7 linked regions of the Macaca fascicularis genome follow. The main gene of each other region encodes a partner of the protein of the gene in region 2 in a complex. Links are inferred from orthologs where the notes say so. Each region holds a gene or a part of one and is shown on either strand. Other genes may lie near its edges. The genes, in order: SNRNP40, DHX16, RNF113A, SNRPD2, RBM48, SNIP1 and ARMC7.

The links.
Region 1: DHX16 (region 2) and SNRNP40 share a complex: the UniProt entries of both Homo sapiens proteins name them as parts of the minor spliceosome. The link is inferred for Macaca fascicularis from reciprocal best matches to the Homo sapiens genes DHX16 and SNRNP40.
Region 3: DHX16 (region 2) and RNF113A share a complex: the UniProt entries of both Homo sapiens proteins name them as parts of the minor spliceosome. The link is inferred for Macaca fascicularis from reciprocal best matches to the Homo sapiens genes DHX16 and RNF113A.
Region 4: DHX16 (region 2) and SNRPD2 share a complex: the UniProt entries of both Homo sapiens proteins name them as parts of the minor spliceosome. The link is inferred for Macaca fascicularis from reciprocal best matches to the Homo sapiens genes DHX16 and SNRPD2.
Region 5: DHX16 (region 2) and RBM48 share a complex: the UniProt entries of both Homo sapiens proteins name them as parts of the minor spliceosome. The link is inferred for Macaca fascicularis from reciprocal best matches to the Homo sapiens genes DHX16 and RBM48.
Region 6: DHX16 (region 2) and SNIP1 share a complex: the UniProt entries of both Homo sapiens proteins name them as parts of the minor spliceosome. The link is inferred for Macaca fascicularis from reciprocal best matches to the Homo sapiens genes DHX16 and SNIP1.
Region 7: DHX16 (region 2) and ARMC7 share a complex: the UniProt entries of both Homo sapiens proteins name them as parts of the minor spliceosome. The link is inferred for Macaca fascicularis from reciprocal best matches to the Homo sapiens genes DHX16 and ARMC7.

Annotation. Positions count from the first base shown.
Region 1 is NC_088375.1:203,728,177-203,731,676, forward strand, and holds part of SNRNP40 (U5 small nuclear ribonucleoprotein 40 kDa protein), read left to right. Parts: intron 1-2,456; coding exon 2,457-2,579; intron 2,580-3,500. UniProt on the Homo sapiens protein: Required for pre-mRNA splicing as component of the activated spliceosome. Component of the U5 small nuclear ribonucleoprotein (snRNP) complex and the U4/U6-U5 tri-snRNP complex, building blocks of the spliceosome.
Region 2 is NC_088378.1:141,993,824-141,997,323, forward strand, and holds part of DHX16 (pre-mRNA-splicing factor ATP-dependent RNA helicase DHX16), read left to right. Parts: intron 1-374; coding exon 375-485; intron 486-654; coding exon 655-770; intron 771-2,880; coding exon 2,881-3,091; intron 3,092-3,288; coding exon 3,289-3,387; intron 3,388-3,498; coding exon 3,499-3,500. UniProt on the Homo sapiens protein: Required for pre-mRNA splicing as a component of the spliceosome. Contributes to pre-mRNA splicing after spliceosome formation and prior to the first transesterification reaction.
Region 3 is NC_088395.1:126,232,984-126,235,870, forward strand, and holds RNF113A (E3 ubiquitin-protein ligase RNF113A), read right to left. Parts: upstream 1,699-2,887; 5' UTR 1,593-1,698; coding exon 558-1,592; 3' UTR 501-557; downstream 1-500. Other genes in the region: NDUFA1 (NADH dehydrogenase [ubiquinone] 1 alpha subcomplex subunit 1), read left to right, coding at 1,891-1,992. UniProt on the Homo sapiens protein: Required for pre-mRNA splicing as component of the spliceosome. As a component of the minor spliceosome, involved in the splicing of U12-type introns in pre-mRNAs. E3 ubiquitin-protein ligase that catalyzes the transfer of ubiquitin onto target proteins.
Region 4 is NC_088393.1:53,756,366-53,760,653, reverse strand, and holds the start of SNRPD2 (small nuclear ribonucleoprotein Sm D2), read left to right. Parts: upstream 1-1,488; 5' UTR 1,489-1,541; coding exon 1,542-1,543; exon of another isoform or gene 1,544-2,275; intron 2,276-4,288. Other genes in the region: QPCTL (glutaminyl-peptide cyclotransferase-like protein), read right to left, coding at 1-19, 521-727. UniProt on the Homo sapiens protein: Plays a role in pre-mRNA splicing as a core component of the spliceosomal U1, U2, U4 and U5 small nuclear ribonucleoproteins (snRNPs), the building blocks of the spliceosome.
Region 5 is NC_088377.1:128,829,428-128,832,927, reverse strand, and holds the end of RBM48 (RNA-binding protein 48), read left to right. Parts: coding exon 1-6; intron 7-1,796; coding exon 1,797-1,907; 3' UTR 1,908-2,207; coding exon of another isoform or gene 2,208-2,294; 3' UTR 2,295-3,103; downstream 3,104-3,500. UniProt on the Homo sapiens protein: As a component of the minor spliceosome, involved in the splicing of U12-type introns in pre-mRNAs.
Region 6 is NC_088375.1:197,387,272-197,390,771, forward strand, and holds part of SNIP1 (smad nuclear-interacting protein 1), read left to right. Parts: coding exon 1-488; intron 489-2,657; coding exon 2,658-2,922; 3' UTR 2,923-3,500. UniProt on the Homo sapiens protein: Required for pre-mRNA splicing as component of the spliceosome. As a component of the minor spliceosome, involved in the splicing of U12-type introns in pre-mRNAs. Down-regulates NF-kappa-B signaling by competing with RELA for CREBBP/EP300 binding.
Region 7 is NC_088390.1:81,488,731-81,492,897, forward strand, and holds the start of ARMC7 (armadillo repeat-containing protein 7), read left to right. Parts: upstream 1-1,367; 5' UTR 1,368-1,660; coding exon 1,661-1,751; intron 1,752-1,834; coding exon 1,835-1,978; intron 1,979-4,167. UniProt on the Homo sapiens protein: As a component of the minor spliceosome, involved in the splicing of U12-type introns in pre-mRNAs.

The sequences.
Region 1 (3,500 bases), on a different chromosome or scaffold from region 2:
GCTGGGATTACAGGTGTGAGCTGTCACACCTGGCCTGTTTAGTGAATTTTTGAACTAATTTTGTAAAGTTTGTATTCTTTGTCCTGTGTTACCACTGAATTCTTTTTTTTTGTTAGCTTAGTGGTCAGCTAGTGAATGACAGAAGTTTCCTAAATTACCTACAACAACAAGAACAAAAGCTCTCCCAGTCTTTGCAGATTGTCTTTTGGTATGTTGGAGCCTGCCTTCAACTCCTTGCTGTGCAGTTTACATCTCTCCTTAGCTTTCACTTCCTGCTTGTGCAGAGCCTGAAGGTCAACCAGAGAGCTTATGGCCTTCTCAGATCTTTTCTAAGTATGTGCCCAGCCCTGGACATGCAAGTGGTCTAGATTGCCAGGGATGGGCCAGGCATGGTGGCTCATGCCTGTAATCTTAGCACTTTGGGAGGGCGAGGCAGACAGATCACTTGAGGCCAGGAGTGTGAGACCAGCCTGGTCAACATGGCGAAACCCTGTCTCTACTAAAAATACAAAAATTAGCTGGGTATAGTGGCACGCGCCTATAATCCCACCTACTCGGGAGGCTGAGACAGGAGAATTGCTTGAGCCTGTGAGGTGGAGGTTGCAGTGAGCCGAGATCGCACCACTGCACTCCGGCCTGGGTGACAGAGGGAGACTCTGTAGGTAGGTAGGTAGGTAGGTAGATAGATAGATAGATAGGTAGGTAGGTAGGTAGGTAGGTAGGTAGGTAGGTAGGTAGGTAGATAGATAGATAGATAGATAGATAGATAGATAGATAGATAGATAGATAAGATAAGATAGATAGATAAGATAGATAGCCAGGAATATGTCAGTGCTTTTCAAAACTCTTACTCCCCAAATTGTCTCCTTCCCCAGCCCTTCCTCCCAAGGTTTTTGGTTTGTATTTTTGCCCCAACTGTTTTTCCTTGCCCCCAGGCACCAGAGGCTAATAATATCCTTTCCTTTAAATGTTTTCTTTTTTTTTTTTTTTTTTTTTTTTTTTTTTTGAGACGGAGTCTTGCTCTGTCACCCAGGCTGGAGTGCTGTGGCCGGATCTCAGCTCACTGCAAGCTCCGCCTCCCGGGTTCCCGCCATTCTCCTGCCTCAGCCTCCCGAGTAGCTGGGACTACAGGCGCCCGCCACCTCGCCCGGCTAGTTTTTTTTTTTTTTTTTTTTTTTTGTATTTTTTAGTAGAGATGGGGTTTCACCGTGTTAGTCAGGATGGTCTCGATCTCCTGACCTCGTGATCCGCCCGTCTCGGCCTCCCAAAGTGCTGGGATTACAGGCTTGAGCCACCGCGCCCGGCCTAAATGTTTTCAAGGAAAGTTCCAAGTTAGACAAAATAAATGTAAGTCCTGGCCGGGCGCGGTGGCTCACGCCTGTAATCCCAGCACTTTGGGAGGCCGAGACAGGCGGATCACGAGGTCTGGAGATCGAGACCATCTTGGCTAACACGGTGAAACCCCGTCTCTACTAAAAGTACAAAAAACCAGCCGGGCGAGGTGGCGGGTGCCTGTAGTCCCAGCTACTCGGGAGGCTGAGGCAGGAGAATGGCGTAAACCCAGGAGGCGGAGCTTGTAGTGAGCCGAGTTGGCGCCACTGCACTCCAGCCTGGGCGACAGAGCAAAGACTCCGTCTCAAAAAAATAAATAAATAAATAAATAAATGTAAGTCCTTTGAGCTTATCCTTCAGGGAGCCACCAGACAAGTAAAAATAAACAATTTTTATTGTTTATTCTTTGACAATAAGAAATAGGCCCCCCTTTGCTTCCTCAGTACTAGGAAACCATACTGGGAATATGGGTTATCTTCAAAGCTGTTGCTGAGCGGGAGACAGAGCCAGCACAAGTTAAAACACTACAAAACCCTTTTACTGGGACTCAGGGGTTTTTTTGTTTCCTTTTTCCTCATTAAGGGTTTGCCTGGTTACTATAAACTTTTGATTAGTTATGAGAGTTCCGACAGTTGATTCTGACAGGTTTTTGCTGGTTCATTTGTTGTTTTGTGGAAGGACAAGCTTTTGTCATTGTTTATTATACTATTTTCACTGACGTACCCGCTCTCTATTTTTTTAAATGTGGGTTGCAGCCCACTAATGAATTAGTATCTACAGTTTGAAAAAATTGTCTGATATCCTTGTTGTCCTAAAAAATATATGAACCAAGTAATTAGTGGAATTCCATTCTAAGAGTATGTTGATTTAACTCTGTTTATTCACTTTAACAAAGAAGTCTGAAAATATAACTGAAGTTTTGTTTCACCAGCCTTCAAATGTCTTAGCAAAATTGAGGACACTGCTTACCATGTGTGTTATTAGGATATCCAGGAGTTAGTGAAATGGGATCCCAATTATAGATGTGTTCATGTTCACAAAGTCCTTGTACTTAGGGATATTTGTACTGTGCAGTTACTTCTTAGAATGATATTAATGATAGACCCTGTTGTCCTTTGCTTCAGCTTTGGGACATCCGGAAGAAAGCAGCCATCCAGACATTTCAGAACACGTACCAGGTGTTAGCTGTGACCTTCAATGACACAAGTGATCAGATTATTTCTGGTGGAATAGACAATGATATCAAGGTATGTTTGATGTTTATGATATATTTCCATTTCACCCATCTGCACTTAGAAACAAATTTTTTCAAACTTCTGAAATTGTGGTAGCTTTGCACTTAATACCAACTGAAAGGAAAATAGTAATTTGGAACTTATTTTCTTTTTCTCCTGTCTTCATTGACTTCCTAAATTAAAGGTTGCACTGCAGATCTTATAAATGCTGTCAGGGACCAGGCACTTAATGTGAAGTGTGAAGTCTCTGTAGGGGGACTATGTAAAAAATAAAGAGTGCATTTCCTTTTAAAGACATTCAGAATCTTTTTTTAACCATCTTAGTTTAATGGGAGCAGTGAATCAGTTTGTGATTCTGTATCCTCATCTCTCACTGTGTTTTTCTTTTTGACACTATGGAAAGGGAGTTTTCTAAGTTTCTCTAAGAATGAGAGAAGGTAATGATATTAAAGAGGCAATAGACCATATGGCAGTACAGTGTAGCTCAAACTTTCAAGTAATTGACTTGAGTTCTAATCCCAGTTTCACCATTTTCTAGTTTTGTGACTTCAACACCTTCTTTAAGCCTCTTTTTCTTGTGTGAATGCTGAGGGGGTAGTGATAACAAAAACTACCACATGGCATCTACCACATACCATTGTAGCGATTAAATGAGCCTGATTAGAGCACTTAGCAGAATTCCTGGACATAACAAGTGCCAGGAAATGTGTTATTTTGGTCCTGCACGGCTTCTGTCTTCCTTTCCTATTGGCTTCCTTGGGGATCTTAACGACTTTGACCTTACCTTCTGCTTTATAGTGAGAATAGTAACTGTCAGATAAATACTCAACTTTCTGTGTTGTCCTTTCCTAGAAGTTGTACTGTATTTCCATCCCTCGTTGTTTCCTTTGCTGTTACTTTGGATGAAATATCCTTGCTTTTGGCCAGGTGCGG
Region 2 (3,500 bases):
GGCTGGTCTCGAACTCCAGAGCTCAAGCAATCCTCCCACCTCAGCCTCCCAAAGTACTAGGATTATAGGCATGAGCCACTGTGCCCAGCCTTCCTGCTTTTTACCTTAGCTGACTCTGCCTCAGCTAATCTGTTCTTTTCCAGCTCAAGTCTAGCAGAGCCATGAACTTAATTACCCAGAGCTAGGTGAGGACCCCCTTTGAGGGCCCTAGGTCTGTCATCCTATCTATTTGCCCTTCTTTTCTGGTATTCAGCATCTGTCTTTTCCTCCTTTTCTCCTGTCTGGCTTTTACAACTTCTTTCTCTGAATTGTACCTGGTCCCAGGGGGCATATTTAGCAAAGGGTAAACCTCTTCTTTCTTCCTTGTCATTCAGGGTTATACAAAGAAGGGTATGAAGATTGCCTGCACCCAACCCCGGAGAGTGGCCGCCATGAGTGTAGCCGCCCGAGTGGCCCGGGAGATGGGTGTGAAGCTTGGGAATGAGGTGAGATTTCTAGGGAACTGGGGGGTAGAGACTGGGGTCTGTGACTCAGTCTACACTGCCCTCAGGTCCCTACGGCAGAAGTCTTGGTGCTGCCCCACTTCACCTTTCCCCAAGTTCCTTTCAGGGCACACCATCCAACACTTGGTTGCTAATGGTTTCCCTTGACCAGGTTGGCTACAGTATCCGCTTTGAGGACTGCACATCAGAGCGAACTGTCCTCCGCTACATGACAGATGGGATGCTTCTCCGGGAGTTCCTCTCTGAGCCTGACCTTGCGAGTTACAGGTACATACAGGGCCCTCATCTCCCATGAGAGAGCTGCCCACATTCTCTTCCCCCTGTGCTGCCGCCTCCCTCCCACTCAGTTCTCTCCTGGATCTCTAATCTCTGGCTTTTCTCTCATTTCTTGCCACCCAGCCAATTCAGCCATTGTCTTCTGATTAATCCACCAGTTCTTATATCGTTATGGTTCAAACGGTCCTTGAACTGACCTCCAGGTACCACGGAGATGGGGCTGGAGGATAGAAGAGATTGTAGAGAAAGCCTCTTCTTCTTTCCCCATTCATCTCCAGGGTTAGGAAACAACCAGGATAGCATAGCATTGCTGCGGAGGCTTGAAATGCCATGTGGAGACCATTTGAAAACACCTGGAATGCTCAGCTCAGAGGGAGAAGCAGGAGAGGCATCCTGGTTCCCTCTAAATATGTGAAGGCTGTGACATGGAAAGAAGGATGAGACTTGGTTTATGTAACCCTACAGGATACAGCTAGGAGCCATGGGGAGGTTACAGGGAGACAGATTCCAACTCAATACCGATGGCTAAATAACCCTCAGAGTGTTGGAGATTGCAGGGCCTGTCAGAGTGGTTGGACTCTGGATCTTGGCCCTCCACACAAGTCTTGGGTAGCTTGGTCTGTGAATAATGAGCTCTTAGTGCTGGAAATGGCCAAGCAGAGGTTGGTTGAACATGTGTTGAGGGGGAAAAGGGATTCATGAATGTGCTGGGGTTGGGGTCAGGCCAGCTGAACAATATGTGCCCTTTTTTGACTCTTCAGAGGCTGTGAATTTCTGGCCCTGGAAGATCACAGTGGAGTGATTGGACAGATAGGATTTTATCCTTCATATCCCTTGCAAAAAATCTCTGAGAACCCATGGAGAGCCAGCCAGTGCAAGAGGGCCTGATGCAGATATTTTTGCCCATCGAGCCAGCCTGCTTTGTGGAATGACTGGGGGCTTCACCATCACAGTTAGGGTTAGGGACAAAGAGTTGAGGTCAGAGAGGTGGGTAGGGGAAGATGAGGATGAGTTCCTGAGACTTGGCTGCCATCCAGAAAAGCCAAAAAATAAAGCAAAGAGAAAGAAGGTGTCATGCACATAACTGAGTTAGGAGAAACCAGGGAGCATGCAGAGTCCTCTGAGAGTTGGGGTAGAAAGGCTTAACTTGCTCCTCTCTGCAAAAGAAGAATCCTTCTTAGCAGGTCTGGCTCTGTTACCCAGACTGGAGTGCATTGGTGCAATCTCGGCTTACTGCAAGCTCCGCCTCCCAGGTTCATGCCATTCTCCTGCCTCAGCCTCCCGAGTAGCTGGAACTACAGGCGCCCGCCACCACGCCCGGCTAATTTTTTTTTTTTTTTAAGTAGAGACGGGGTTTCACCGTGTTGGCCAGGATGGTCTCAATATCCTGACCTCATGATCCACCCTTCTCGGCCTCCCGAAGTGCTGGGATTACAGGCGTGAACCACCGCACCTGGCCTCTTTTTACATAGAGTGTCGCTCTGTCACCCAGGCTGGAGTGCAGTGGCTCAATCTTGGCTCACTGCAACCTCTGCCTCCCGGGTTCAAGCGATTCTCCTGCCTCAGCCACCTGAGTAGCTGGGACTACAGGTGTGCGCCACCACACCTGGCTAATTTTTTTTGTATTTTTAGAAGAGACAGGGTTTCGCCATATTGGCCAGGCTGATCTCAAACTCCTGACCTCGTGATCTGCCTGCCTTGGCCTCCCAAAGTGCTGGGATTACAGGTGTGAGCCACCGTGCCCAGCCTAAAGCATATCCTTCAACTTTTTCTAGTAAGAGCAGCTACTGAGTCTAAGCAGACTCTTGACTGAACTAGAGAGTATGTCTAACTTGTCCTGGCCTCAGTGCAGCCTCTACATCTTGGCTTCTATTGTCTGCTGAGGCTGGGATAGGTTGCAGATCATGGGTCCCTGGCCGCCTCTGACTTTCTGTTGGTCTTACATAACTGGGATGGCTGAGTTCTCCTTAGACCCCCCCTCCGTCAACAGTCATTCTTGAGCTCTTTGTGTCCATCACTCCCCTCTCGTCCAGGGAACCCTGGTGTCTGATACTGCATTGCCCAGCGCTCCTCCCTCATTGCTGCCCTATTCCCTCCCCAGTGTGGTGATGGTGGATGAGGCTCACGAACGGACCCTACACACAGACATTCTCTTTGGATTGATCAAGGATGTTGCTCGCTTCCGACCTGAGCTCAAGGTCCTGGTGGCTTCAGCCACACTGGACACTGCCCGTTTCTCCACCTTCTTTGATGACGCCCCTGTGTTTCGAATCCCCGGACGCAGGTTTCCTGTGGACATCTTCTACACCAAGGTGCTACCTCAGGGAGGATGGGCTTAAGTCTGTGGCAGAAAAGCTGAGGCCTTTGGAGAAAGTTATCCCAAGGAGGGAAAGATGGAGTGGAAGGTCCAAAGGGGAACTAGGATAAAGTATATGTTGAACGGGGAGGAGAGGAAAGGTTTGCCTAAGCAGGTGGCCCTCCTGTGACCGCATCTCTTTCTGCTCTCCAGGCTCCAGAGGCTGACTACTTGGAAGCTTGTGTTGTATCTGTGTTGCAGATCCACGTGACCCAGCCCCCTGGGGATATCCTGGTGTTCCTGACAGGACAGGTGCCTGACATGGTTGGGAGAGGGGAGGGTGTATCTCAGGGGAAGATGGGGCCGGCATGTTGGCCTTCTGTGACTCTGGGATCCCTGCTGCTCTCCCCACCCTCTATCCAGGA
Region 3 (2,887 bases), on a different chromosome or scaffold from region 2:
GAGCTGAGATCGCGCCATTGCACTCCAGCCTGGACAACAGAGCGAGACTCCGTCTCATAAATAAATAAATAAATAAATAACCCAGACAGCAAGGAACATTTCCCATATGTGAAGCCTGTGGTACTAGCTACCAATTCCCCAAACGCAACCCCTCTCCCCAACACCTTGGCTCCGGTATATTTTGTAGTACAGGCTCCCAAGAGAAAGAATGCATGAAAGTACTTTGTAAACTATTAAGTGATACAGAAATGTGATATGATAAACAGGCTCAGAGTTCTTACTTTCGTCATAGCTTTGGCTACTTCAAGCAAATTATAGCTCTTTTCTCAAACTACTCCCACCCCTATAATTGATGCCAAAGTGTTCTGAAAAGAAACACAGGCAAAATGGTTATCCTAGGGCTAAAAATCCTGATTATACCTACCTTGAGGTTTTTAATCCAGGACCCTACTTCACCACCCGCCTTCTCTGTCACTGTCTCTACAAAGGAAGGACACGAATTAAGACTTCCAAAAGAACAAAATATTTATTATTTAAATTTAAGAATTATCAGACAGCTAAGTAACGGGAATTGGATCCTCATCGGGGTCTTCTGGCAAGTCGGAAGCACCACCACCCTCTCCTGTAGCTCGATGCTTCTCTAGTTTAGCAATCAATTCTTTCGCTGGATTGAAGACGCCATTGGTCTGCTGGTCACAGACATAACAGCGCGGGGTGGTGCGGAAATGCTGCAGTGCACAGCTCTCGCAGAAATAATGCCTGCACTTGGTGACAACTGGGTTTTGGAAGCTCTGGCGACAGATGAAACACTTGAATGGTATTTCCTCATCATCGCTTCCCACTTCATAGTTTTCATCCTCATAGACACCATAGCGACCCTCATCAAGCTCACGTTCGATCTGCCACCCATGCTTGTAATCTGAACGGTCATGGAGGAATTTGCAGCTGTCTCCGAAGCCGCAGAAGCCAGTCTCTTTGTAGTCCTTACAGATGTCGGGCTGGTAATCCCAGCGCACGGTGGCACGTAGATGCTCGGGCGCTCGGATGGGGCCCTTCCTCACCATCCCGGAAGAGGCATTGCCCATAGACGTATCCTTGGGCTTCATGTATTTCTGATAATTGTTGATTCCCCGATAGATCTTGTCATCCTCCTTGCCCCTCAGCTCCTCCTGGATCTTCTGGCTGCGCTCAAAGATGGCTTGTGCATCGCGCTCTTTCTCTGTGTCCAGCTCATAGACAGCTGTCGCCCCCATATCCTCTGGTCCCACGGGTTTCGCCGAGCGGGTGGATTTATAAACCACGCCGAGACTCTCGGGCTCATTTTCCTCCTCCTCCTCGCTGCTCAAGTCGCCGTAAGCTGCCTTCTGTTTACCACTGTCACGAGTCTTCTGTATCATTGGATTGTGAGTCGCCCGCTTCTTTTCCGGTCGAACCACAGTGCAGCCTTCGTCGCTACTGCTGCCGCTGTCTCCGGGCTCTGGGTCGCAGGCCGGGCGCTTTCTGCGTCCAGCAGCCCCTTTCCGCCCAGGCTTTTTGAAAAGGAAGGTGCACACCTGATCCGCCGTCTTCCCTGGAGAAAACTGCTCTGCCATTTTAGAGTCCCGAGCTCCGAAACGGCCGTCGCTGCCTGGGTTGCACTTGGCCTCTGCGCGTTACTCCACGTCGCGCGCTCCGCCGGGAGTCGAAGCAAAAGACACTGACGGAAGAGAACTGCGAGAGCGCGAGCGCCAGCCTCTCTTGAGCCCTGGCAGATCCCGTCGCTTCCTCCGGAGCCGTACGTGGCACCGCCCCGCTCGCGGGCGGCCGCGGGGCTTACTGGGAAGGGAGCCGAAGCCCGGTCACCTTTCAAGGACCCAGAAGTAGGGTTTTGGCCTAGATAACGGGGCAGAGATGTGGTTCGAGATTCTCCCCGGACTCGCCGCCATGGGCGTGTGCTTGCTTATTCCAGGACTGGCTACTGCGTACATCCAGAGGTTCACTAACGGGGGCAAGGTAAGGCGGCTTCCTGGGCCCGGGGGCTGACTCCACTGGCTGATTTCTGAAAAGGATGGTGGGCAGAGAGGCCGTCAGCCTGCGGACCCTCTCTCCGAGGCCGGCCCTCTACTTTCTTCCGGTTGCCTAGAAGCCGAGGCTTGCGAAACGAAGCGCGGTAGAAACCACATCCTGCTCTGGTGAAAAACAGCGTTTCTGGGTGTATCAAAGTGGGCCTTAGGGCAGAGTAGCGACGCGGGGGCCGGAAAGGTAGATTAGAAGAGGTGGCTCAAGCCTGAGAATCCCTCACTGCAACCTCCGCCTTCCGGGTTCAAGAGATTCTCCTGGCTGAGCGCGGTGGCTCACGCCTGTAATCCCAGCACTTTGGGAGACCGAGGCGGGCGGATCACCTGAGGTCGGGAGTTCGATACCAGCCTGACCAACATGGGGAAACCCCATCTCTACTAAAAATACAAAATTAGTGGGGCGTGGTGGCGCATGCCTGTAATCCCAGCTACTCGGGAGGCTGAGGCAGGAGAATCGCTTGAACCCAGGAGGCGGAGGTTGCAGTGAGCCGAGATCGCGACACTGCACTCCAGCCTGGGCAACAAGGGCGAAACTCCGTCTCAAAAAAAAAAAAAAAAATTTTTCCTGCCTCACCCTCCTGAGTAGCCGGGACCACGCCCGGCTATTTATTTATTTATTTTGGTAGAGACGGGGGTTTCATCATGTTGGCGAGGCTGGTCTCGAACTTCTGACCTCAGGTGATCCACCCGCCTTGACCTCCCAAAGTGCTGGGATTACAGGCGTGAGCCGCCGCTCCCGGCCACCCTTGACTTTTTTATTCCCCACTTTCTCTTGCAAGCGTTTAGGAATTTACTGCAAGGTCTTGTGTTTTACATCAGGATTCATTTTC
Region 4 (4,288 bases), on a different chromosome or scaffold from region 2:
GGCTTCCGATCAACGGGACCTTGGGAAGGAGGTGGGATAGGGAAGGGAAGAATGAGAGCAACCCACCATTTCATCCCTACCCCGGGCGCCGTCACCCACAAGCAGCCCCGGGTCCTCTTTCTAATTTGCGGCCTCCAGCATCGGAGACTTCTAGGATAAATCCAAGGCTCAGAAAAAGTCCTTCCAAGACCATCCGGTCCAGCCTACCTCAAACTTGATGGGGAAATCGAGGCCCAGTGAGAGAGAGGGGAGATGGAGGAAGGGACTCTTCCAAATAGTTGACTAAAGGCGTAGAACCCTGAACCCCCTCGTCTTACTATTTCAGACCTTTCCTCATAAAAGGAAGCTACTGTTGTAAAACCAGCCCGAAGCCTTATTCCTTTGGTAAGGGTCATGCGCTCAGATGACGAAGACTGTGGCATCTGCGGTTAGGGCCGTACGCTAAAGCCAAGTCAACCCTGGGTAACAGCGGGGAGGGAATGAGGGTCCCCGCGGTGCCCGGGTCCCCGCCCAGCCTCACCCGCAGCTCCCGGCCCAGCGGCAGCTCCTCAGTCCTGCGGTGCCAGCCGCTCCAAATGGTGTAGAACGCCGAGCCCACGGCCAGCGCCAGCAACAGGGGCAAGAGCCGAACCCGCGGTAGCAGGCGGCGCTTCGGGGGCAAGAGTGGCTCCATAACGCCACGTTCCCCTAGCCGCAGGCGGGGCCGCCCGCGGCCCCCGGAACGCATGGCAGCTATGCCCTGAAACCTGTACCAGACCACGATTGAGTTTAGGCCCAGCCAAGTTCCACCCCATGGAATCAGTGGGCCAATAAGCAACAGCAGCGGCTGCACCTGCCCACCCCACAGCGAGCAGCGAAACCAATAAGAGCTACGGTCCTGAGGACACGCCTCCCGGCCTCCCTTGGGTATTGGGGTTGGTTCTTCTGAGAATGGCACGACCCAAAAGGGAGCGCAAAAGAGATAGGCTCCGCCTTAGCGGAGGGGGAAAGCCAATGAGCAGCGTTTGATCGTGGAAAATATTCAATCTCTCGGGCGCAGGTCCATGCCCCTCCCGGATGTAGGCAGGGGATTGGTGGCGCAGGGTCGGAAAGATCAGTAGATACGTCAATAACCCGTCCCAGAGGGAAGAGGGGCGGTGCCTGTCTCCGAAGCGAGGAGCGGATTGGCTTCAGCGGAGGCCGCGCCCCCGAAGTCACGGCCGGCGGGCATTTGGAAATAGTTTGTCATTTCCCTCCTTAAACCTGTACCATTCTTAAACGAAACGGTTTGAATCAGACCGCCTTTCCTTTTGTCTTCATTGTCATAAACATCTGCCCCGTGTGGTTCTGACTGGCCTCGAACCCCTATCCGAGGCTTTTATTCTTTCATTGTGCACCGTTGGTGGGCAATGCTATGGCAACAGGCCACGCCTCCACTTACTGGTTGGCTTTGCGCAGGCGCCAACGGAAGTGGGTCGCAGGAAGAGGAAGTCCCGCCTCTCTCGCCTCAGGCTGCAGCAACGCGGAGGAAACGGGAGTGAACGGAGAGCTTAGTGACCATCATGTGAGGCCGGGCTAGGCTTAGGCGGCGGGAAGGAGGTTGAGGGTGGAAATTTTGACCGATTGAGGGTGGGAAGGGTTGAGCAGAGAGCGGGGTGGGGGACAGGGGCAGATGTTTTAGGGATGGAGCGTCCTGCGTTTCTCCTGATGAGTTTGAGAACGGGCGTGGGGCCTTTGACGCATCGTGACTTCGGGAGAGGGGACAGCTTTATCAGATAACGCGCTGGGCTGGGCGCGGGGACTCATGCCTGTGATCCCAGCATTTTAGTAGGCCAAGGCGGGAGCATCGCTAGAACACAGGAGTTTCGAGACTACTCTAGGCAACATAGCGAGACCCCCGTCTCTACAAAAAAAATTTTTTTTAATTATGAAAAACATATTTTAAACGATAACGGAGGGGGGTCCTAGATAATTAGTCCTATTGAAGTGAATGTTAAGGGGCAGCGATTTTACGAATACTGGGGGAGGCCGGGCGCGGTGGCTCAGGTTTGTAAATCCCAGCACTTTGGGAGGCCGAGGCGGGCAGATCACCTGAGGTCAGGAGTTTGAGACCAGCCTGGCCATTGTGGTGAAACCCCGTGTCTACCAAAAATACAAAAATTAGCCAGACGTAGTGTCGGGCCCCTGTAATTCCAGCTACTTGGAAGGCTGAGGCCGGAGAATCGCTTGAACCCGGTAGACGGAGGTTGCAGTGAGCCGAGATTGCACCACTGCACACTTCCAGCCTGAGCGAAGAGTAAGACTCCATCTCAAAACGAAACAAAAGAAATCAAAACGAATACTGGGGAAGGGAAGTTAGGACTTTTAGAAATAATGATTTGAAATAAGGGACTTCTCCTGATCATTTGAGCTGGAGACAGATGCGTTTTCGACCTAATTCACAACTTAAAGGGATAACGAGTGATTGGCATGATTTTGCTCATTTATTAGTGCACCAAATATTACATTGAATGTTTATGTATCAGACACTGCTTAAGCCACATAGGATACATCAGTGAATGAAACCTTTTGTTCCCAAGGAAAAAAAAAATCTTTTTTTTTTTTTTTTTTTCCCGAGACATAGCCTTGCTCTGTTGCTCAGGCTGGAGTGCAATGGTGCGATCTCAGCTCACTGCAACCTCTGCCTCCCGAGTTGAAGCAATTCTCCTGCCTCAGCCTCCCGAGTTGCTAGGATTACAGGCACCAACCACCATGCCCAGCTGACTTTTATATTTTTAGTAGAGACCAGATTTCGCCATGTTGGCCAACCTGGTCTCAAACTCCTGACCTCGAATGATCCACCTGCCTCGACCTTCCAAAGTGCTGGCATTACAGGCGTGAGCCACCGTGCCTGGCCGGGCGTGAGCCACCATGCCTGGCCGGGGTTTTACTTTCTACACTGAGATGGCGGGGGGGCATGGGAGGATTTTCTTTTGTTTGTTTGAGATGGAATCTCGCTCTGTCACCCAGATTGGAGTGTAGTAGCACGATCTCTGTCTCCTGGGTTCAAGTGATCTTCTTGCCTCAGCCTCCCAAGTAGCTAGGATTACAAGCATGCGCCACCATGCCCAGCTACTTTTTTTTTTGGGGTGGGGGATGGAGTCTTACTCTGTAACCCAAGCTGGAGTGCAGTGGTGTAATCTTGGCTCACTGCAACCTTCGCTGCTGGGGCTCCAGCGATTCTCCTGCGTCATCCTCCTAAGTAGCTGGGACTAGAGGCATGCGCCATCACACCTCGTTAATTTTTTTGTATTTTTAGTAGAGACAGGGTTTCACCATGTTGCCCTGGGTGGTCTGGAACTCCTGAGCTCAGGCGATCCACCCCCCTTGGCCTCCCAAAGTGCTGGGATTACAGGCGTGAGCCATCACACGCAGCCTAATTTTTGTATTTTCTAATTTGTATTTATTTATTTTTTGAGACAGAGTCTCGCTCTGTCGCCCAGGCTGGAGTGCAGTGGCATGATCTCGCTTCACTGCACTCTCCGACTCCTGAGCTCAAGCGATTCTTCTGCCAGAACCTACCAAGTAGCTGAGATTACAGGCGTGCACCACCACGCCTGGCTAATTTTTTGTTGTTGTTTTTGTTTTGTTTGTATTTTTAGTAGAGATGGGTTTTCACCGTGTTGGCCAGGCTGGTCTCGAACTCCTGATGTCAAGTGATCCACCCGCCTTGTGAATCATCACCAGCTGGATGCCTAACAGACATTTTCTTTTCTTTTCTTTTCTTTTTTTTTTTTTTTTTTTTTGAGACGGAGTCTTGCTCTGTTGCCAGGGTGGAGTGCAGTGGCGCGATCTCAGCTCACCGCAACCTCTGCACCACAAAAGTGCTAGGATTACAGGCATGAGCTACCGTACCCAGCCCCTGGGAGGGCTTTGAAGAGTGACATGTTATGATTTAGGTTTTAGCACAGCCCCCTCAGACCACTCTGTGGAGAACAGACTGTCAGGGAACATGGGTGGAGGCAGAGAGACCGGAAAGATTCCAGGTCAGAGATGACAGAGGCTGAGGCCATGGTAAGAAATGGCCACTTCCTACAGATTTATTGTAGGATGCAAGGGAAAAAGAGGAATCAAGTTGACAAAGAGTTTTTGCCCAGAGAACTAGAAGGCAGATGGGGAACACTGTGGATAGGGTAGGCTTCGGTGGTTGGGTGATCTGGACCCCGACCTGAGACATGCAGAGTTGAAAATGTCTGGCTGAGCGCGGTGGCTCACACCTGTAATCTCAGCACTTCGGGAGGTCGAGGCGGGTGGATCACGAGGTCAGGAA
Region 5 (3,500 bases), on a different chromosome or scaffold from region 2:
AAAGAGGTAAGGTTATTTTTAAAAACTGTTCTAAGAGACGATTTGGTTATAGGACTAAATGGGGAATTATTTGTGGGAACAATAGTATTGTAATTTTTTTCACTTTTTAGTTTTTTGATGTGTTTTTCTATAGTTCTCTGTTGAAATAACTGAATTTGGCTAACATTTTATTTGCTTTGAACTGTTAATACTTGCTTTAAACAATGAACAGACATTTTATATCACTGTAGATACAAAATATTAAAGCAGTGGTTTCAGCTAATTACATCAATCTGTGAGAGTGGTGCCCAGGCCTGCCATTTTTGTTAAAAGCTCCCCAAGTAGTTCTAATATGAGCCAAAGTTGAGAAGGAAAATTCCATTTCTCTCAGATTTAGAGTTATTACAGTTTATATCAAAGTAAAATGCTTAATTTGCTTTTGTGATAAAGAGCAATAGAAGGTGAGATTTCTAAAAATTGGGCCTCTAGGTATGCATTTCAAATGTAGACTTTATTTTATTTTATTTGTTTATTTATTTATTTATTTTTTGGAGACAGAGTCTCACTCTGTCGCTCAGGATCTACGGTCACTGCAAGCTCTGCCTCCTGGGTTCACACCATTCTCCTGCCTCAGCCTCCCAAGTAGCTGGGACTACAGGTGCCCGCCGCCATGCCAGGGCAAGTGTTTTGTATTTTTTAGTAGAGACGAGGTTTCACCATATTAGCCAGGATGGTCTCGATCTCCTGATCTCGTGATCCACCCGCTTCAGCCTCCCAAAGTGCTGGGATTACAGGGATTACAGGCATAAGCCACCACGCCCGGCCTCAAATGTAGACTTCTTAAATGATCAGGATCAGATTGTGCTGCCTAGGTAGTCTTTTTTTTTTATGTCATTTATATAATCATTTTCCATTTCCTAAGCACAAATAAAGTTAACATCTGAGTTAGCTTTCGAAAGACACCTTTTTGTGGGATGGGGTAGGGGCTACTATTACAAATCATAAACTGAGGGTTATGACATTCTCTTATACTTACTCCAAGATGCAGAAAGTGCTTTTCACATGGTTTTACTCGTATTTTACAATGTGATTAAGGGAGGCTCAGGTAGCTTAATTTCTTATATGTACATTTTTTACCTGAAAACATCTGATTAAAGAGGCATTATTTATTAATAATTAAAATCCATGGGCACAGTTTTGAAGCCGCCTTTAGTTTTTCAGTTTAGGCTGGGGACAGTGGCTCACACCAATAATCTCAGCACTTTGGGAGGCTGAGGTGGGAGGCTGAGGTGAGCAGACTGCTTGAGCCCAGGAGTCTGAGAGCAGCCTGACCAATGTGATGAAACCCCATCTTTACCATAAATATACAAAAATTAGCCAGGCGTGGTGGTGCACTCTTGTAGCTACTTGGGAGGCTAAGGTGGAAGGATCACTTGAATCTGGGAGGCGGAGGTTGCAGTGAGCCAAGATCATGCCACTGCACTCCAGCCTGGGTGACAGTGTGAGACCCTGTCTCAAAAAAAAAAAAAAAAAAAGGTTTTCAGTTTGTGCTTCCACCCTTCCTTCCTTCCTTCAGTTGCAGCTGAACTGAGGCATAGACATAGATACGCAGCTGTCTCAGCCAGAGCTGATTACATTTTAAAGAAAAACGTGTGAAGTCCAAATTCTAGGTCCAGAAATAGTAGAACAACAAAAAAAAAATGTTAAATACAGTTTACTATAGTTTCTAATAATTTTCCATTTCAAATGAAGACTCTTTGCTTTGGCTTATTGTACACTCTCTCTGATAGTGTGTTTGCCTTTCCTTTTTCTCCTAGGAAATTGAGGATTATACTGCTTCCTGCTCATTTCTCCAAATGTTTTCATCCCCCCAAATCTATCAAACATTATCAGTGTTTCAAGAATGCAAAACCAGGATATCTATCTGAATCTGTAATATAACAAGTGACTTTAGATCTATAAAGGAATGTTAAAGTGGAGCATATGTTCACTTTTCTTCCTCCAAATTTTTTTTCTTTTTAAGTAGCTTTAGAAATTTTACTCTCATCAGTGTTTGAACAGAAAACTTCACTCTGTGCCTAGGTCATAGGCTGGACCTTGAACTTAAGCCAACTCTGCCTCAAAAGCCGCATCAAGGATTGAACTATTGGATGTAGTCTTACCTCTTCTAATAGCTTTACTCCTGTGCTATAGAAACTAAATTTTAATGGTTCTTTTTTTTTAATTAGGTAATTTCATCTGTGCCAAAGCATCCAGAGGACAAGCCGGAAGATGTACATACAAGTCATCCATTAAAACAAAGAAGAAGAATATAGAGTGCCAGCAGCAAATTAGTACTTCCTGAAAAGAACATTTATTATTTATTTTTAGCCTGTCATTTTAATTCTTCTAGAGATTTTACTGCTGGTATTTTTTAATGCACTCCTCTTTGTAATTTCATTCAAGCTATTTATCTAAAGTCATTTCTTTCTTTCTTTTTTTTTTTGGGAGATGGAGTCTTGCTCTTTTGCCCAGGCTGGAATGCAATGGCATGATCTCAGCTCGCCGCAACCTCCACCTCCCGGGTCCAAGCAATTCTCCTGCCTCAGCCTCCTGAGTAGCTGGGATTACAGGCGTACACCACCATTCCTGGCCAAGTTTTGTGCTTTTTTAGTAGAAATGGGGTTTCACCATATTGGTCAGGCTGGTCTCGAACTCCTGACCTCGTGATCCTCCCACCTCGGCCTCCCAAAGTGCTGGGATTACAGGCATGAGCCACCATGCCTGGCCCATTTCTTTTTTTTTCGACCCATACTTAATGTTGCAGAAACTATTCTTGTCATAACATTACCTCTCATGTACAGTAATTATATGTAAATTAATTGAAGCAAATATGGAAACTACAATAACGATAGGCAACCAGCATCTGTTTCTGATTATAATACAAGTATTGAATGAGCCATTGAAACACTAGAAGTCAGGGTGTTTCCGAATGCCAGGATTTCAAAATCAAGACAGTCTGTGAGGTAAAAAGTAGATTAACTATTAGAACAAAGCTGAAATTAGAATCTTATATGCTTTCATTAACTTTTAAGAAGAATTTGCTTGACCTGTGGCAATCCAAAAATAAATCAGTATTTATAAATTTTAGACTTCTGTTACTGCTTCTGGCATATCCACACTTTTTTCTGTCAGTGGGTCACATAATTGGAAATTTCAGTACATCTAGGCTGTCTCCATTTTCTTTTTCTTTTTAGTAGAGACAGGGTCTCATTGTGTTGCCCAGGCAGGTATTGAACTCCTGGGCTCAAGTGATCCACTCACCTTGGCCTCCCAAAGTACTAGGATTACAGGTGTGACCCACTACACCTGGCCATTTTCTTTACCGGTAAAAATAACTTGAGAAGGTCCATACCATGGCATGTTGTTTTCATTTCTCCCTATCTTTAATGGCCTCTTGCCTAGTAGATTGAATTTGAACATACCAGTTAATAAGGTTCTGTTTCAGCTATGATTTACTTGTAGCAGGACAAGCCGCAGAC
Region 6 (3,500 bases), on a different chromosome or scaffold from region 2:
TCCCACCAAAGGAGAACGTCTAACGAGAGACCTGGGAGTGGGCAGGGTCAGGGACGGGAGCGAGACACTCAGAACCTGCAGGCTCAGGAAGAAGAGCGGGAGTTTTATAATGCCAGGCGACGGGAGCATCGCCAGAGGAATGACATTGGTGGTGGCGGTAGTGAGTCTCAGGAGTTGGTTCCTCGGCCTGGTGGCAACAACAAAGAAAAAGAGGTGCCTGCTAAAGAAAAACCAAGCTATGAACTTTCTGGGGCACTTCTTGAGGACACCAACACTTTCCGGGGTGTAGTCATTAAATATAGTGAGCCCCCAGAAGCACGTATTCCAAAAAAACGGTGGCGTCTCTACCCATTTAAAAATGATGAGGTGCTTCCAGTCATGTACATACATCGACAGAGTGCGTATCTACTGGGTCGACACCGCCGCATTGCAGACATTCCTATCGATCACCCATCTTGTTCAAAGCAGCATGCGGTCTTTCAATATCGGTAAGTAACATGGAGGAAGAAACTCTAATGTGAGCAGAAACAATTGCTCAGTTAGTTAGGATTACTAAGATTTTTGTTCATACATATACAGAAGAATCCCATACCCCTCATATCTAAAGAGTATTGTTAATCTAACTTCCCTTTAAATAATTGTTTACATATTTATAAGAACATTATACTTTTAATCTATTTTTTGTTTTTTTGTGACAAGGTCTCACTCGGTCACCCAGTCTAGAGTGCAGTGGAGCAAAGACAGCTCACTCCAGCAACCTCTTGGGCTCAAATGATTGTCTCCCACCTTGGCCTCCTGAGTAACTGGGACCATAGGCATGTGCCTCTGTGCTCTACTAATTTTGAAACTGGTTCTTGATAGCTTGCGTGGGACATCTGTGATGATTCTCACAACAATCCTGTGAGAAGGATAGGACCGGTTTTTGGTTTTTTGTTTTTGTGAGACGGAGTCTCCTTCTGTGCCCAGGCTGGAGTGCAGTGGCGCGATCTCAGCTCACTGCAACCTCTGCCTCCCGCGTTCAAGCGATTCGCCTGCCTCAGGCTACCGAGCAGCTGGGAATACAGGCGCACGCTGCCACACCCAGGGAATTTTTGTATTTTTAGTAGAGACAGGGTTTCATTGTATTGGTCAGTCTGGTGTCGAACTCCTGACCTCGTGATCCACCCGCCTCGGCCTTCCAAATTGCTGAGATTATAGGTGTGAGCCACTGCGCCTGGCCCATTTTTTGTTGTTGTTGTTGGTTGTTGTTTTGTTTTGTTTTAACATGGTCTCCTGACTTTGAATGGACAAGTATTTATATCCCCATTTGACAGATGAGAAAACTGAAGCCCAGCAAAACCAAGTGACTTGCCTAACAAATGATCACTATAGTACAGTGGTCCCCAGCCTTTTTGGCACCAAGGACCGGTTTCATGGAAGACAGTTTTTCCATGGAACCAGGGACATGGTTTCAGGATTCAAGTGCATTACATTTATTGTGCACTTTATTTTCTTTTTTTTTTTTTTTTTTTTTTTTTTTTTTTTTTTTTTTTGAGACGGAGTCTCGCTCTGTCGCCCAGGCTGGAGTGCAGTGGCGCGATCTCGGCTCACTGCAAGCTCCGCCTCCCGGGTTCACGCCATTCTCCTGCCTCAGCCTCCCGAGTAGCTGGGACTACAGGCGCCCACAACCGCGCCCGGCTAATTTTTTGTATTTTTAGTAGAGACGGGGTTTCACCGTGGTCTCGATCTCCTGACCTTGTGATCCGCCCGCCTCGGCCTCCCAAAGTGCTGGGATTACAGGCGTGAGCCACCGCGCCCGGCCTATTTTCTAATATTATCTCATTGTAATATATAATGTAATAATTATACAACTCACCATAATCTAGAATCAGTGGAAGCCCTGAGCTTGTTTTCCTGCAACTCGATGGTCTCATCTGGGGGTGATGGGAGACAGCGACAGATCAGGCATTAGATTCTCCTAAGGAGCACGCAACCTAGATCCCACTTGTGCACAGTTCACAATAGGGTTCACGCTCCTATGAGACTAATGGCACCGCTGATCTGACAGGAGGCGGAGCTCAGGCAATAATAATACGAGTGATGGGGAGCAGCTGAAAATACAGATGAAGTTTGGCTTGCTTGCCTGTCTGCCCACTGCTCACCTCTTGCTGTGCGGCCTGGTTCCTAACAGGCCACGGACTAGTACCAGTCCATGGTCCAGGAGCTGGGGACTCCTGCCATAGTAGAACTCTGGCTCAAATATAGCTCCCTTGACTCTGAAGTCCAGGTCCACTGTTTTTTCCCATTTGGACAGGAACTGAAATATATTGAAATATAGGTTAAAGAAACATTGATTATAAACAACAGAAAAAAATGTATTTTCTTAACCACAGCAAGAGACTTTGGATTCTGCATTTCCACCTTTTGATCTTCCATGGATTCTCCCCACCCTCCAGTAACCCATTCTCACCTTTTCTACTAAATATATTTAAACTTCCAATTTCCCTTCCCAGGGCCATGCTTTCCCCTTGATTTCTTTGATTCCCTAGAATTTTAACTTGAATTATGCTCAAGTCAGGTTATTTACATCATCTAGGCTGTCTTAGCAAAGAGCTTCAGAGAGGATGGATGATCTGAGGCAGAAGTTTGCTCATAGGTTTCTCCTTTTTCTCTGCTAGGCTTGTGGAATATACCCGTGCTGATGGCACGGTTGGCCGAAGAGTGAAGCCCTACATCATTGACCTTGGCTCAGGCAATGGAACCTTCTTAAACAACAAACGTATTGAGCCACAGAGATACTATGAACTAAAAGAAAAGGATGTACTCAAATTTGGATTCAGTAGCAGAGAATATGTCTTGCTCCATGAGTCGTCGGACACTTCGGAAATAGACAGGAAAGATGATGAGGATGAGGAGGAGGAGGAGGAAGTGTCTGACAGCTAACAAACTAAGAACCCAAACTATTGAGACACGTTTTCCTTGTTGGAAGGCTTTGATTGACTCAGAGAGCACTATGGTGGTGGGTCCAACACTATCATGCTCTCTGTAATGCCTCTTACTGCCTTAAGTCTTTCCCCTGTTGCTGACCAGATTGTGTTACCATTTGAATACACTGACTAATGTTTGTTAAACTTTTTCTGTGGCACCTTGGCCACATGCCTGCAGGCATTTGTTTTCGGAACAGTCTCACCAATTACAACACACCGTGTTTTAGTAGAAGCGTTGTGGTTTTAGTTGGTGCTTTCAGAACTGCTGCCTAGGAAACTATAAACCCTTGGTTAAGGGTAAATCATGGCTTGTTCTCTTTGTACAGTTAACTTTATTTATATAGGTATTAAGCTTTGTGGACCAGGTGTTTTTCTTTTGGGGTGAACCCCTGAGCAGAGAATCTTACTAGGCTTTGGTTATCACCAAAACAACCTCCAGTATATACCAAAGCTTTGACCTGGTTGAGCTCTTGAGCTTAGAAGTTGATTTTGCACTTAGTCTTTTGGGGGTGGGAATGTACTGCAGTCAGTAAA
Region 7 (4,167 bases), on a different chromosome or scaffold from region 2:
CATAGTAAACTATATGGGTATTCAGGGAGGTAAAGAAAGAAAGGCTTTAAGGGAAAAAATAGGATTACATAATTGTTTTGAGATAATTATCCTTAGGTAGAAGAATTAGTAACAAGGGTGACCAGTTCAACGTTGGACAGGAAAGTTGCTGGGCAGATGGCCATTCAAAAGTATGTTTTGTGCAAGGTTGGGGTTTTTGCAGAATCTTTGTGATAGTTTTCATTATCAGATATTTATGCATGAGAACCCTCTTGTCATGGTTTTCTCCGACTCTGTCCGGGTTTTTTTGTTCTGTTTTTTTTTTAACACAAGTGACTCCAATTAGATTAACAACTTTTGCATTCTCAGGACACTCACAGCCTAAGCCACCTCTCTACCCCTACGTTGTCAAACGCGATGGGAGTGTAGTAAGGCCACCTCCTTCCCTGGTGCTTTGTTCCCTGTAACCACGAGTAGTAATCCATCACACACCTGCTTCCCGAGAATCCTCGAGAAGGAATCGGCCGAAGGGCTTCAGCATCCAGAAAGCCCCGAAAGCGCCACAAACAAGGCTCTTCCTCGGGCTCCCCGGTGCTGCCCCGGGCGCGCGCCATCCACCCGGCTGACAAAAAGCACCAGGACATGACCCCGTCCCCTTTGATTTCTGTCCAGAGGTGGCGGACTCACCTCGGGGCTGGGATAGAGGACGGGTCGGGGTCGCTACGCTTTTTGCAAAAGGGTCAAAAGACTGATGGGGGTGGGTAAGGAGCTGACGCCCGCGCTCTAAAGGGGCGTCCTGGTCAAGGAGGCTGGGCCGCGCCCCGCCAGCCATGGGGATCCTGGAGGTGCTTCTGCCTCGACGTCCTCCCAACATGGGTGCTGCCAGACTCCGTTGCGCTCCTGAGTTGCTCCTCACGTCATTCCAGCCGCCCGACATGGGTGCCTCACTTTCGGCTTCTGGGCCACGTCGGGGCGGCGGAGGACCCGGGGGGCCGGGCGGGAGAGTGGGAAAGGTGGGGCGGGAAAGCCGAGAGAGGCCCTCACCCGCCTTCCTGTTGGCGGGGGCGGCAAGTGGGTTTCTTTCTTGCGTTCAGATTTTGCAATAATTTGCAGCTGGACATAGGATATGGGAGACAAGGCTGCTCCTCGCAGTACACCCACCCACGCCCATACCTCCCTCGGCGAAGCGTGTCGCAGCGGGTTCCAGCGCAGGCTAAAGAGCTTCCGCAGCCAGAAAACCGAAAGCGCGCCGCGCACGCGCGCCAAGGAGTTCGGCGACGGCCCCGCCCCTCGCCTGCCTCGTCCCGCCCCTTCCGCGCCTTGTAGGGTGGGGACAGCGCGGCTTCCGCCGGGAGCCTGGAACCGAGCCCGGCAGCCGGGGGCTGGGCGCCAGTACCCACTCCGCCAGCCCCAACCCGCAGACGGTTCCCTGTCTCCCGCGCCCCAATTTCGATTTTCAGACCCAACTCCTACAGGATTCTGAGACCCCGGCCCATCTCCCCACATTCCATTTCCAGCTGCAAATTACTGCAGAGTCTGAACCCAAGAAAGAAACCCATTTGCCGTCCCCGCGTCTTCCCTCGCCAGACAGGTGGAGAGTGGGTGAGGGTCTCGCTCGGCTTTCCCCCTGCACCTTTGCCACCCGCCCGCCCGTCCCTGGGGGTCCTCCGTCACGCCGGCCATGGCCCAGAAGCCGAAGTTGGACCCCCACGTCGGGCGTTTGGGATACCTGCAGGCGCTGGTCACGGAATTCCAGGAGACCCAGAGCCAAGGTGAGAGCCACGGTGGGACCAGGTGACAGGGTCGGCTGTGACCGCCGCCCGGACCTGGCTCCAGTGCCGCTTTCCCGTTGCAGACGCCAAGGAGCAAGTCCTCGCCAACCTCGCCAACTTCGCTTATGACCCCAGCAACTACGAGTATCTACGGCAGCTGCAGGTCCTGGATTTATTTCTCGATTCGCTGTCGGAGGAGAACGAGACCCTGGTTGAGTTTGCTATTGGTAAGGGCTGGGCCCGTTCGCTAGATGGCTAAATGGGCCGGGGTGAGATAAGTGAGTTACAAGTGAGTCCTTGGGGCCTGGCGTGGTGGCTCACACATGTAATCCCAGCACTTTGGGAAGCCGAGGCGGGGGGATCACCTGAGGTCAGGAGTTCGAGACCAGCCTGGCCAACATGGCAAAACCTCGTCTCTACTAAAAGTACAAAAATTAGCTGGGCATGGTGGCGAGTGCCTGTAATCCCAGCTAAGCGGGAGCAAAAATTAGCCGCACACAGTGGTGTGCACCTGTAGGCCCAGCTACTCTGGAGGCCGAAGCAGGAGGATTGCTTGAGTCCGGGAGGCAGAGGCCAAAGTGAGCTGAGACTGCGCCACTGCACTCCAGCCTGGGCGACGGAGTGAGACCATGTCTCAAAAAAAGATGTTTTAAAAAGAGCAGTTTTGTAGCCAGGCGCGGTGGCACACGCCTGTAATCCCAGCACTTTGGGAGCCCGAGGCAGGCGGATCACCTGAGATCAGGAGTTCGAGACCAGTCTGGCCAACATGATGAAACCCCGTCTCTAACTAAAAATACAAAAATTAGCCGGGCGTGGCGGGCGCCTGTAATCCCAGCTACTCGGGAGGCTGAGGCAGGAGAATCACTTGAACCCGGTAGGCAGAGGTTGCTGTGAGCCGAGGTGGCGCCACTGCACCCCAGCCTGGGCAACAGCGAGACTCCGTCTCAAAAAAAAAAACAACAACAATTTCAGGTGGGTGAGGTGGCTCACACCTGTAATGTCAGCACTTTGGGCGGCCGAAGCAGGCAGATCACTTGAGTCCTGGAGTTCAAGACCGGCCTGGCAAAAGCCCATCTCTGCTAAAAAAAAAAAAAAAAAAAATTAGTCTGGCGTGGTGTCCCAGCTACTCAGGAGGCTGAGGTGGGAGGATTGCTTGAGCCTGGGAGGACGAGGCTGCAGTGAGCTGGGATTGGGCCACTGTACTCCAGCCTGGGTGACAGAATGAGAATCTGTCTTAGAAACAAAAGTAACTCATATTTAGTGTTTTCATATCAGGAGAAGCAGAGATGGCTTGCAGTCTGTAACTTACGGCTTCTTTTGTAGTTATGATCTTAAGACCTATTGATTTATTCACTGGGCAGATATTTACTGGGCATGTACCGTATATGTAAACTACTGCTCTAAATGCTGGAGTATGGTGAACAGGTTAGGGAAAGTGTTTGTCCCTCAGGAGCTTACATTCTAGTAGGGGGGACAGGTGGTTAGCAAACAAAAAAGATGATGCTCAGCAGCAAATAAATGGGGTGATGAGAAACAGCAGTAGAAGGTGGTGGTTACTTCCGTTTTGGCCATCATGAGAAAGGCATTTTAGCAGGGACACAGCATGGGCAAAGGCCTTAAAACAGGAAGGAGCCAGAAGGAAGATGAATGTGGCAGGATCGTTATAGTGAAGTGGAGAATGGCACAAAAAGAGGATAGAGAGTTAAGCGGCACCAGAGCTTGCCGGAGCTTAGATCTAGGCCGTGGGAAATAGTTTGAAGCAGACAAAATTTTGAGAACAAACAAAAATCCCTGTTTCAAGCCATGCACAGTGCTCATCTGTAGCCCCAGATAGGAGGATCGCTTGAGCCCAGGAGTTTGAGGCTGTAGTGTGCTACGATTGCATGATTGCACCTGTAAATAGCCACCGCACTCCAGCCTGGGCAACACGCGTGTGATCACCTGGCTGAAGTCTTGTCAGGCTTCTCCACTGTAAAATTACTCTTTCTTTCCCCTCTTTACGTATTATGTATTATACCCATTGGAAGGAAGTCACTACATAAATTATCTTAAATCTTTTTCTTTTTTTTGAGATAGGGTCTCACTGTGTCACTTAGGCTGGAGTACAGTGGTGTGATCATAGTTCACCATAAATTTAAACTTCTGGGCTCTAGCAGTCTTCCTGCCTTAGCCTCCCGAGTAGCTGTGACTACAGGTGGACACCACCATGCCCGGCTTTTTTTTGTTTTTAATTTGTTTTCGAGAGGATCTCACTGTGTTGCCCAGACTGGTCTCGAACTCGGCTTTTTTTTTTTTTTTTTTTTTTTTTAATTTGTTGTCGACACACGGTCTCACCGTCTTGCCCAGACTGGTCTTGAACTCCTGGCCCCAAGAGATAAATCGCTTGTAACCCTAAACAGACCCTCATTTCATAACA